Linked DNA regions of Oryctolagus cuniculus. The protein of the gene in region 2 purifies or fractionates together with the protein of the main gene of each other region. This does not show direct contact. Links are inferred from orthologs where the notes say so. Each region holds a gene or a part of one and is shown on either strand. Other genes may lie near its edges.

What was found.
Region 1: the proteins of WASF2 (region 2) and CYFIP2 purify together in Homo sapiens (co-immunoprecipitation; 3 studies listed by BioGRID and IntAct, with this or other methods). This does not show direct contact. The link is inferred for Oryctolagus cuniculus from reciprocal best matches to the Homo sapiens genes WASF2 and CYFIP2.
Region 3: the proteins of WASF2 (region 2) and ABI2 purify together in Homo sapiens (affinity purification with mass spectrometry; 3 studies listed by BioGRID and IntAct, counting the BioPlex papers as one, with this or other methods). This does not show direct contact. The link is inferred for Oryctolagus cuniculus from reciprocal best matches to the Homo sapiens genes WASF2 and ABI2.

Annotation. Positions count from the first base shown.
Region 1 is NC_091437.1:44,298,241-44,301,888, forward strand, and holds part of CYFIP2 (cytoplasmic FMR1-interacting protein 2), read left to right. Parts: intron 1-754; coding exon 755-829; intron 830-1,762; coding exon 1,763-1,916; intron 1,917-2,833; coding exon 2,834-2,990; intron 2,991-3,506; coding exon 3,507-3,603; intron 3,604-3,648. UniProt on the Homo sapiens protein: Involved in T-cell adhesion and p53/TP53-dependent induction of apoptosis. Does not bind RNA. As component of the WAVE1 complex, required for BDNF-NTRK2 endocytic trafficking and signaling from early endosomes.
Region 2 is NC_091438.1:144,152,910-144,156,557, reverse strand, and holds part of WASF2 (actin-binding protein WASF2), read right to left. Parts: intron 1,277-3,648; coding exon 1,142-1,276; intron 619-1,141; coding exon 465-618; intron 1-464. UniProt on the Homo sapiens protein: Downstream effector molecule involved in the transmission of signals from tyrosine kinase receptors and small GTPases to the actin cytoskeleton. Promotes formation of actin filaments. Part of the WAVE complex that regulates lamellipodia formation.
Region 3 is NC_091434.1:36,665,775-36,669,422, reverse strand, and holds part of ABI2 (abl interactor 2), read left to right. Parts: coding exon 1-48; intron 49-3,105; coding exon 3,106-3,252; intron 3,253-3,648. UniProt on the Homo sapiens protein: Regulator of actin cytoskeleton dynamics underlying cell motility and adhesion. Functions as a component of the WAVE complex, which activates actin nucleating machinery Arp2/3 to drive lamellipodia formation.

The DNA.
Region 1 (3,648 bases), on a different chromosome or scaffold from region 2:
AGCAGTCAGACCCCTGCAGCTAGGTGGCGCGTAGGTATTTCATAGCCGCCTACACAGCCAATGGCAGAGTCCCAGTCCCTTACCCTGTTGGGGAAACTGAGGCCCAGAGAGGGAAGTGACTTGTCCAAGTCACACGGTGCGTCCCACGTGGAGGGGGGACAAGAACCCAGGTCTCCTGACTCCCCCGCAGGGCTCCGCTACAGCCGTGGGAGTAGCCCGATAGACATGGGGAGTAGCTGCAGTGCGGTTTCTTCCAGGAAATAACGTGTACGGTTACAGAAGTTGGGGAAAGCGTTCACCCTCTTAAGGATGCAACCAGGTTTTCAGACAGTTAAGAGTCTGGCGGAAGCAGCCGCACGCAGCAGCACACGGGGCTCGACAGCTCCGTTCTCTGGGGCCCCCAGGTGGTGGCTAGGAGAGGGCCTCTCGGCTCTCCCGGAGGAGAAGGTGCCGCCAGCAGCAGGGGTGCGGGAAGGGAAGCGCGCGCAGGGACGGTGTCCCGCGTGTCTCTGGCTGCACTGGCCCTGCAGGCCCGGCCATGTGGTGGGGAAGAGCCCAGAGAAGGCGAGGGAGCCCAGGTGAGCGTGGTTGCTGGGAGGCTGGAGCGGCTCGGCGGCGGCCCCTAGCAGTCGCGATGGCTTTCCCACCGTATGCAATACCTCTTGCTTTTCTCTCTCTCTCTTTCTCTCTCTCCCTCCTCCCTGTCTCTCCTGCCCTCCCATCCCCTCTTCCTTCTCTCCTATCTGTGTCTTAGGCCTGCCAGTGGTCCCCGAGGGCTTTGTTTCACCCCACTGGTGGCACACAGGGCCGAAGAGGCTGCCGATCCCTGGTATAACACCGCCTGGCGGGGTTGGCTTGGGTACTGCTCTCCAGGAGGCAGCGGGAATGGACTAGCCTGACTCCTCAAGGCCCCTTCCAGCCTCAGATTCAGAGACAGATGGTGTGGAAAGATCTAGATTAGCAGAGAGAACGAACAGTCCCACCGCACTCACGCCCTTGGCGCTTAGGGCTCCCAGTAAGCAGGAGTTAATTGTCCTGTAGCCTCCTTTGTAAGTACCGACGTGAGCCCACTTTGCACCCAGGGTTTCTTCAGGCTGCACCGTTGCACGCTCGCCACCAGAGGGCGCCTTCCCTCCTGTGATGGCTGCAAAATGCAGAGGATCAGAACTCTGAGCTGTGGGAGGGGAGGGGGGCTCTTTCGGATCTTAGCCCATTTCACACTTCCGCAGAAGGTTAGAGCTGCAAGGGCCTGGAGGGAGAGAACACCTGGTCCAACCCCTCACAGTATGTAATACCACTGAGGTCCAGAGTGGGTGCTTTGTTGCCTAAGGTCACACAGCAAGTCAGAGGCAGTGCCTGGCCTTGAACCCAGGTCTTTTGACTCCTAGTCCAGTGCCCCACCCACGACGCCACTGTGGCTGTCTGGGAAGGCCGAGAGTGACATAGGATGAGGTTCTCCTCTGAAGCCTGTGCCCTTGGCTGAGCAGGGCCGGCAGGAACCTCTCCCTGGGCCTCTTAACTACCACCGGTGGTGGCCAGATCCACCCACCCAGGAATGTCTCAGAGTTCTGGGCAGAGCTCCTTCCCGGGGTGGCCCGTCTCTCTCCTGAAGGTTTTCACAGTTGCAAATTCGCTTCTCTGCCTCACATGGTGCCTTCTCAAGACATTGTTTTTAAGAGCAGAAAGAAAACAAATACAGCGCAAAGCAAGCTTGGCCCAGGATGGCGGCTGACCCCTAACCGCGTCTTCCTTTGCCTTCAAGCTGTACATGGTGCGGACGATGCTTGAATCGCTCATCGCAGATAAAAGTGGCTCCAAGAAGACCCTGCGAAGCAGCCTGGACGGGCCCATCGTCCTGGCCATCGAGGACTTCCACAAACAGTCCTTCTTCTTCACACACCTGCTCAACATCAGTGGTGAGCTGCAGAGCCCAGGGCAGAGGCGGGGGCTCCTGCCTCCCGCGTGGCTGAGCCCCTTGGGCCGGCAGTGGCACAGTCTGCCTGCAAGGGAGGATCCCCACTTCCTGGTGGACTGCGGGAGCTGGGGAGGAGGACCAGGCCCAGTTCACCTCTTCTGACGTGGTCAGCTCAGCAGCTGTCCAGGGCGCATTTGTGGCGGATTTATCAGGACGTCTTTGGTGGAGCAGAGTCAGAAACGGGATTGCAAACGTGGAAACACACGAGGCGTTCACTGGCCTTTGGCTGCTAAGCCGCAGCTGGGAGTTGAGCAGTGCCCACTCTCCCCACAGAAGAGCCTGGCAGGCTGCAGCCCAGCCCCTGTGCTCTACCCGTCCTCTGCTAGTAGGGTGCACATCCTATAGGACAGGTGGCAGACCAGTGTCCTAGGGACGTGCGGTTGTCCTGTGTCTCTTGGCATTGAAGAGCTTGACTCACTTCAACAACCAGTCAGAACTTGTCCATCAGAGAGTTGCCTAGGAAGGGCCTTCAAGGCCTCTGAACCACACAGCCGGGGTCAAGGAGCCACAGCCCAGCTGGAAGTGGGTGCATGGCGACTTCTCTTAAAGGTGTGTGTTGTACACTTAAATCATGTTTTCACGATGGCTCTGTAGGGGGTGATGGAAATCTGGGGGCATCTAAAGTCCTCAAACACCACCGCCACTTCCACCACACATCTCTAAAGCTTAACAGATGCAGCTCTCCAGGCAAATATTAGTCTTGTCTGAAGTACAAGGGCACAGGATGTGCTACTCAGTATGTGTGAGGTACCTGCTGCATACTTAGCAGAGTGAGGATAACAATAACAGGAAGAAAATCAAGAACTGTGATTTTTTGTGTGCTGCCTATAACCCAAGGCTCTCTCCCTACACTTCCAGAAGCTCTCCAGCAATGTTGCGACCTCTCTCAGCTCTGGTTCCGAGAATTCTTCCTGGAGTTAACTATGGGCCGGCGAATCCAGTTCCCCATTGAGATGTCCATGCCTTGGATTCTAACAGACCATATCCTGGAAACCAAAGAACCTTCCATGATGGAGTAAGAGGCAGGATTGGACCTGTAAGGAGGTTCCTGGGATGCAGGTGGAAGGTGGCTTTCCAGTGAGCTCATCCTTTGCAGAAGGAAGGTCTGAGCTGACTGTAGGTCAGGTGGGGTGTGCCACCAGGGGTTAGGACACACCAGGTCTGGCTGCAGAAAGATCCGGGAGCGTCCTCCCAGCCCACCTGGCCATCCTGTGTTTCATCAGCCGCAAATCAGCGCTGCTTGGGAAATAAGCCCTCTTTTGGGTCAGGCAGCTGCTGCCCTTCCCTGCCACCTGATTTGTCTTAGTGCCAGACTTCAGCTCAGGCCCTGCTTGTCTTAGCCACTGGGGCTTTGGATTTCCGGGCAGCCTGTAGAGTAAGTCATTTCTAAGTGGTGGAGGCACTGGAAACTCTCCTCCCAGCCCTGAACTTGTGCCCTCTCTCCTCCGCCCTCTGTCTCTGAGTAAGGGGCCACCTGGCTGCCTTGCGAGACGCCCTCACCAAGCTGCTGGCTCTCCGTGTCCCCCTGCAGGTACGTCCTCTACCCTTTGGACCTGTACAACGACAGTGCCTACTATGCCCTGACGAAGTTTAAAAAGCAGTTCCTGTATGATGAGATCGAAGCCGAGGCAAGTGCTGAGCGGCCCCTGTTCCTGCAGTCCTGCCCTGAGATC
Region 2 (3,648 bases):
CTGGGCCAGAGCAGCCAGCGCATGCGGCAGGCCCCACTAACACGCCCAAACATCTGGTAACCTAGTGGTTTCCAAGTCAGTGGGAGCCTTGCTAGCATGCTGCCCCTGGGATCCACGTTGTAGGACCGCCTTTATAACAAAAGTCCTTTTTGGTTCTATAATAACTAAATTCCTTGGATGGAATCCAAGATGGACCTGGTTTATACCAAATTAAACTCTGCAGGATGCAATGTTACAGCAAACTTTCAATATATATTATATTCACTATGAATTTCAGAAACCAAACAATAATAAATGACAACTGTTCACAGGGTAAACTGTAGCTTCTGTTGCCACAAGCCACTCTGGGATGGGGAGTAAGCTTTTTGATAGACTCTTCTGATGTAAACAACATCTTCAGATAAAAGAGCCTAGTGCTGTTTGTGGTTCAGGCTGGAAAAAGGAAGGAGCCAGCCAGCCGTTACCTGTATGGGGTAAGATTGTTGAGAGGGGGAGGAGTATCACAGGTATTATATGTTTCCAAGACAGGCACTGGGAGAGAGTTTCTGTCAAAGAGCTTCTGGTCCTGAATGGTGGAGCTTCGGAAGGCCTTTCGGGTGTTGATTCCTTGCAGCGACACTGAGAGGAGAGGGAAGGCGTTAGAAAATGGACGACAGGCTGTCTGAGCAAACACTGAGTCACCCCAGTCGGAGAGGCCTCAGCTGCTGCATTTCTTGGCTGCGGCTGTCTGCAGCCAGGTTTTTTTTTTTTTCCTTCCCCTCTGGGGAAGCCCCACAAGGCTGTCAGCAGCCCAGCCATTTCACGACTGAACAAAATGAGGCAACACAAAGGTTTACTATGTGGCCAGATAGACCAGGCCTCTCCTAGGAGGAAGGAATCTTCCAAGTACTTTTATGGTAGCAAAATACAATTGAGAGAAGGGAAATTTGAGCGCTGGGGAACTGGGGGATTGGGAGAAAGAGAGTGTGTGGGGGTGAGGCAGAACTTAAAAGGTTTCTTTACGCCACCCAGGCTTGTCATTTCAGAGCAGAACTCCATAGGTTTCTGTGATTTTTTTCCCCTTGCTTTTTTATAAATTAGGGGGAAAAATTCGAAGAAACTGCTCAGCAGAGCCTGCAAATGCTGAGCTCAGCTTCCTTACCTTCTTCTTCCTTGGGATCCAGCTGAGTGACTTTAACTTGTAGTCGGTCAACCCTCTCAGCAAGGGAGCTTACCCGAGAGGCAAAGGTTTTTGCCTGAGTAAAGAGCTCTCCAAAAATGTCCTCTGCATATTTACCTGCAAAAAGCAAAGAAACCAAGTCACCAGTGCACAGAAGTGACAAAAATGGTCAGGAAACTGGCTACCAAGGCCGGCACGACCCATCCCCATACACTGTCCCGCACCCCCCCGAAGGGAAGTGCCACACTCGAAGAATCTGCTTGCTCTGAGAGATAAAGATACTTTCTCCTTAGCTTCGGCAGTCTGTAGAGAGCACAGCCTTCCTGGATAACTGGACAGTCATGAAACTTGAAACAGGCTGAATAAAACTGAAAGGTGTAATGCAAAAAATTGATGTTGGAAGAGCAGACATATTTGCTTACAGCCCTAGCCCCTTGCTTTTCTATAAAATCACCTGGTAAAATGGTTCTGGAAAACAGACTGGGAGTTAAGAGGACCTTCTGGGTGCCTACAATTAATATGATAAGAAATATCCTCCTCAATGGAGCCACAAAAATGCAATGAACAAGCGTGATGAGTCATGGTATCTTCCAGGGCCCTTGAATTTATCAACAATCCACAAGCAGAGATGTGTAACTTCTCTGAAGGGGTGAAAGGTTACTTTATCTTTTATAACCTACAACTTTCAAAGTCTTTGTTCTGGGTTGCAACCCTTCAAATCTACATCTTAGGGAATAAGTGAAAAGCTGAAAATTTCAAGCCCTCCCTGAAAAACAACATACCAGCGGTCTCTTTCCACAATGTCTTGTTTTTTACAAAAAGAAAAGAGTTCTGTGCTTTCAACCCTGGAATGCAAGGAGAATTTGCAGCCAAAGAAACATAACAGCAATTTGACACTACCTCCATATTGTCATTCCAAGCCACAAGGCATATTCTTCCTAGGAATGAAAAGCGCTGCATAGGAATAAAGACACCATCTGAGCTTTGATTTGCAAGGTGAAGGCAGGCATAAGCAACCTGGCCCAACCAAAAGATAACTTTTCTGGGACCCACATAAGCAGGCTCTGATTTTTAGCTTCTAAGCTACATTTAGGCCTAAGTCCTCATCTCAAGGGGAAGAATTCGTCTGAGAAGTCGAAACAGAACCTGTAGTGTGGCTGAAGCTCACCTTCTAGTATAACATGGAGAGAAAGAAGACCAATCAGCTGCATAGTTTGATTTGCTGGTAAATGAAAGTCAATAAGGGCTTCTAATCAGGAAGGAGCAAGTCCCACATACTGAATGGTTCTGTTATCTGAACAATACGGAAGCTCCCTGCTCTGCTCGAAGGTCTCACACTGGAGCCTCATCTCTACTCTGCAGGTTGGAGGACCTGTCTGATCCCGGTCCATAATATGGCTAAGATCCTATAAAACCACACTGCATCATGCTCATCCTGGCAATGGAAAATTGTGTTTGGAAGGCTAAAGCAGAGAAAGGTGCAACATTATTCGTGGAAAATAAACCAGGTTCAAAAATATCCATCTGTTCTGAAGGAAAAGAAAGCCTGCACCAATTTACCCCTCGGTCACCAAGAGAGTACCAGGGTTTTCTGCTCCTCAGCCAAGAGGGCAATGACAGTAGGAGTTGTGGCTTGGGGTAGCACAGCCGTTTTCCAGATAAAATCTTACAAAGCACCCTAAACTGGGGTAACAATGAGCTCTCCTGTTGAAGAGGGAAGAGGGAATGAGGTGTTGTGAAGGCTACCCCACTGTCACCTCACGTCAGGCAGACTCAAAGGACACTACAAGACATGGAAAGAGCAGCAGACATCGCGGCAGAAAATCTGGGTTAAGTTTCAGCTTTCTATTTAGTCCTGTGTACTCAGCAAGTCACAATCTCTCAGACTTAGTTTCCTTACCTGTAAAACGCAGACAACTATATTTCACCATGTTATAGATGATTTTCATGTATTATTATTATTTTTTAAATTTTTATTTATTTGAGTTATAGAGAGAGGGAGAGGCAGAGAGAGATTATTTTTTAAAGATTTATTTGAAAGACAAAGTTACAGAAAGGCAGAGGTGGGGGGTCTCCCATCCACTAATTTGCTTCCCAAATGGCCCCAACAGCTGGAGCTGGGCCAACATGAAGCCAGGAGCCAGGAGCTGTTTCTCAGTCTCCCACATGGGTGCAGGGACCCAAGCACTTGGGCTATCATCCACTGCTTTCTCAGGCCATAGCAGAGAGCTGGATCAGAAGTGGAGCAGTTGGGACTCAAACCAGCACCCATATGGGATGGTGGCACTGTAGGCGGCGGCAATACCCGCTGGCTCTATAGATGATTTTTAAGATTGTGAATACACACATCCTTTTAAGCTTAGAGGAAACTTTTTTTAAATTTATTTTTATTTATTTATTTTTTTTGACAGGCAGAGTGGACAGTGAGAGAGAAAAAGACAAGAGTTTAGAAAAGTCTTCCTTTACCGCTGGTTCACCCTCCAATGGCC
Region 3 (3,648 bases), on a different chromosome or scaffold from region 2:
AACTCAGAAACCTCCCAGTCCCCCCATGTCAGGGAAGGGGACTCTTGGGTGAGTATATAACTCAGTAACTGCAGACTGATTTCACCTAATGTTGTGTTAAAAGCTAAGCAGAGCCTGTATTTAAATTATTTTTGAGTATTTGAAGAGAGAATGTTTCCTTCCTAGAATTGATTATATTATGGGTATAATTTTCCCTTTTCCTGGACAATACACATTTATACATCAGAAATATTTTGTTTAGAAATTATTTTTCTAATACAGTTCAAATTGGGGGTAAAATCCTAGTCCAAGGTAATGGTTTATTATAAATTGCAGTCTAATTTTTAATTTCCGTTTTTTTCCAGAAAATTTTTGCGGTCTTTCTTATTGCAGTTGAACTTAGACTGTCTTTCTCAAGAAGGTTGTATAGATGATAAAGTTCTGTCTAACATGTTATGAGAATCTTGAGCTGTAGTTTGCTCCTACAGATTTAGGCTCTGGATTTGACTTTTGCAAGCAGAAATGGTCAATTAATGGAAAAGCCTGACATTCTTCCATGGCCTCACACTGTAAACATGGTTTATCTTGATCGAGATTTGTATTTGCTTGGGCATAATGTAGCCCAGAAGCCAGAGGAGTGCACCTGTGGGCTGGTTCTGCAGCTTATTGTGTGTTCCTGCCTGCTCAGCCTCTAAACAGTTCAGTTTTTTCATCTGTAAAAGGGGGTAATATTTGTCCTTTATAAACTTTTCAGGGTCACTGTACCACAATTTGGATTTTTAAAAAAATGTATAAAACAAAGACAATATGTTTTGAATACCATTGGCTATAGGATATATGGCAAACAAATTTTAATTGACAATCGTTTTTTGGCCCCCTCACCAAAAAAAAACAACCAAAAAACACAAAGTACAAAAACAAGATAAACAACAAAACCGAAAATCCAGTCAAGCACTGTGGCACTGTGGGTCAGGACAGGATAAAGATGATTGGGATATAAGGGAGGATAATGTTGGGGGAGGAAGTATAGTTAAGACAGTGAAAGACAAAAGAATAAAAGAATAAAAATTATTTCCAGTCAGGAATAGGACGGCTTTATTTGAGATAGACAAAAAATTTTTCTTCTTTGATTAGAAAGGAATTAATCTAATGGACCAAACTTGAGGGTAGCATGCAAGTGAGATGTTCACGCACAGTGGGACAGGGATGAGGGTACAGTGATCAAGAGGAACTGTTCATTCATGTAGAACATTTACATTCCTATCACATATATGGCCTAGAGGGTTTTAGTAGGTATTAAATCAGCAGGATAACCTGCTGCATGTCCAAGAAGAAAGTTTTGTACTCTGATATTTTGAAGATTTACTCAGGCATCAGTATTTGTTTTCTTCGTGTAACAGCATTGGTCGTGTCGCATCTTTGTAGACTGTAGGGTTGCTGAGCCACGTGGCCGTTAGATGGTCGGAGCCTGCTTTTTGGGCATAGTCTTTGTCTAGTCACCGTGTTTGTTCTTCTGCCTTGGTGGTGGTGGTGGTGGTGGTGGTGTTCTTGTTGGTTTTTGTACCTTAATTGTATCATTGCTTCCACTCTGTAGTTCTCAGTCAGTAAAGGTTTTCTTCTTGAAGAAAACAGCATTTTTATTGTCTGGGAAAAATTACCTAAAAATCATGTCTCTGGAAGTTGCTCAGTTTTCTGCTTAGTCATTTATATTTGCATTAAAATTTCAGAAATGTTTGACATTCTTTTCAGTATTTTAAACCCAAACTCCTGACATTTCTTTTTTTTTCTTTTGGCCCAATATTCCATCAAGTGCACCATATTTATTTTTAATTATTTATATGTATATATTTATGCAAGGAGAATCTGCAGCTCTCAGATTCAGCAGGGTTGTTGCAAAATTATCTCATTCAAAATCAATTAGCCATCATTTAAGGGCCCAGGAGAACAGTGTTTAAAAGCACTCTTGGAGCCTTTTGATAAATGAATTATTGAGAAAAATACGTAAGTCATTTGAGTAGCATTATTTCAGGAAAACAAAACTTTAATTTTCAAACCTTGAGATGCCAGTTTTAATTTTTTTAAAAAAAAGACGAGTCTCATCTGTAAGATGTCAGCTTTTTAAAATTTTTAAAAGATTTATGTATTTATTTGAGAGGTTTGAGAGGTAGAGTTACAGAAAGGGGGAGTGACAGAGAGAAAGGTCTTCCATCTGCTGGTTCACTCCCCAAATGGCCGCAACTGGGGAGCTGGGCTGATCTAAAGCCAGGAGCCAGGAGATTTTTCTGGGTGTGCCACGTGGGTGCCAGGGACCCAAGCACTTGGGTCATCTTCTACTACTTTCCCAGGCCATAAGCAGGGAGCTGGAATGGAAGAAGGGCAGCCAAGATACAAACCGGAGCCCATATGGAATGCTGGTGCTGCAGGCAGTGGCCTTACCCACTATGCCACAGTGCTGGCCGCTCTGGTGGTCTTGTTAAAATTTTTTTTTTCTCTACCACTTGTAAATGTTGAACTCTGAGGTTGAGAAGAGGAAAGGGATATCAAGGTGTAAGTTGAGGGGAAAAAGTGAGGTTGTGAGTGTGGAAGATGAGATTAAATTGTGTGTTTTGTGTACACATATACTTTAATGTATTTAGTATCTAGAAAGGGAAATGAGTTGTTGTGGGTGGTATCGATAGGCAGTATGGGGGTTATGGATTCAAAACTCGAGGCTTGTGGTCCCCCTGTTAGGTTACCCTAGGTGAGGGAGGGAGGGGAGAACGATAGTAGGAACATTCATGCAATGCAGCTGGGAGACGGTGACATACTACAATAATCTCTTCTAAGAGTTGGGTCTAGGACACATTGGCATACATGGTGGAGAACCTTGTGTTCTCAGAAAAGTAAATGAACAAAATTGCATTAGCACAGGGAAATGAGGTTGGAGATGGCAAATTAACAATACGTGCTCACCAGAACCCTAATGATGGAGAAGTAAATCTTTAGGAAAGACTGCAATTGGTAGCTGGGTTATGTTAAAAGACATTTCCTCTCTCATTTTCCAATTGTATTGCACTACTGGCAGCTCTGAGTTTATTGTGCCGAAACTTGCTTAATCACACACTACATACGCTCTTCTTTTTGTAGGCGGCACTCCCCCTATCGCACACTGGAGCCAGTGCGTCCTCCAGTGGTACCAAATGATTACGTACCTAGCCCAACCCGTAATATGGCTCCCTCGCAGCAGAGCCCTGTGAGGACAGCTTCTGTGAATCAAAGAAATCGAACTTACAGGTATTTTCTCTACCTCAGCGCAAAATGTGATGGTCATAGTACCATGATCCGGTTAGCTAACCTCGATTCAGTCTCTCTCATTTTCTACGCGCTCAGTTCTTTTCCTCACTCTATTCTCCCAAACCTCATCTGATTCCACCTCTCTCTCCTCATGTTCTGATGCCACTTTGAACAGTCAGGAAGCCGAATACAAGCAGAGACAAATCCAAGTGCAAATTGCTCTATGAGGTTATTAGTTTAATTGATCTGCAAAAAAAATTATGGACCAAATGTGGGAAATTTCTAGTTGTTTTTTGGTGGAACTTTACAGATGAAAAACTATACATAATGAAATATTAATATGGGATAGTATATCAAGGTACCATTGCAAATTAAAGTCAATCAAATCATCTATAC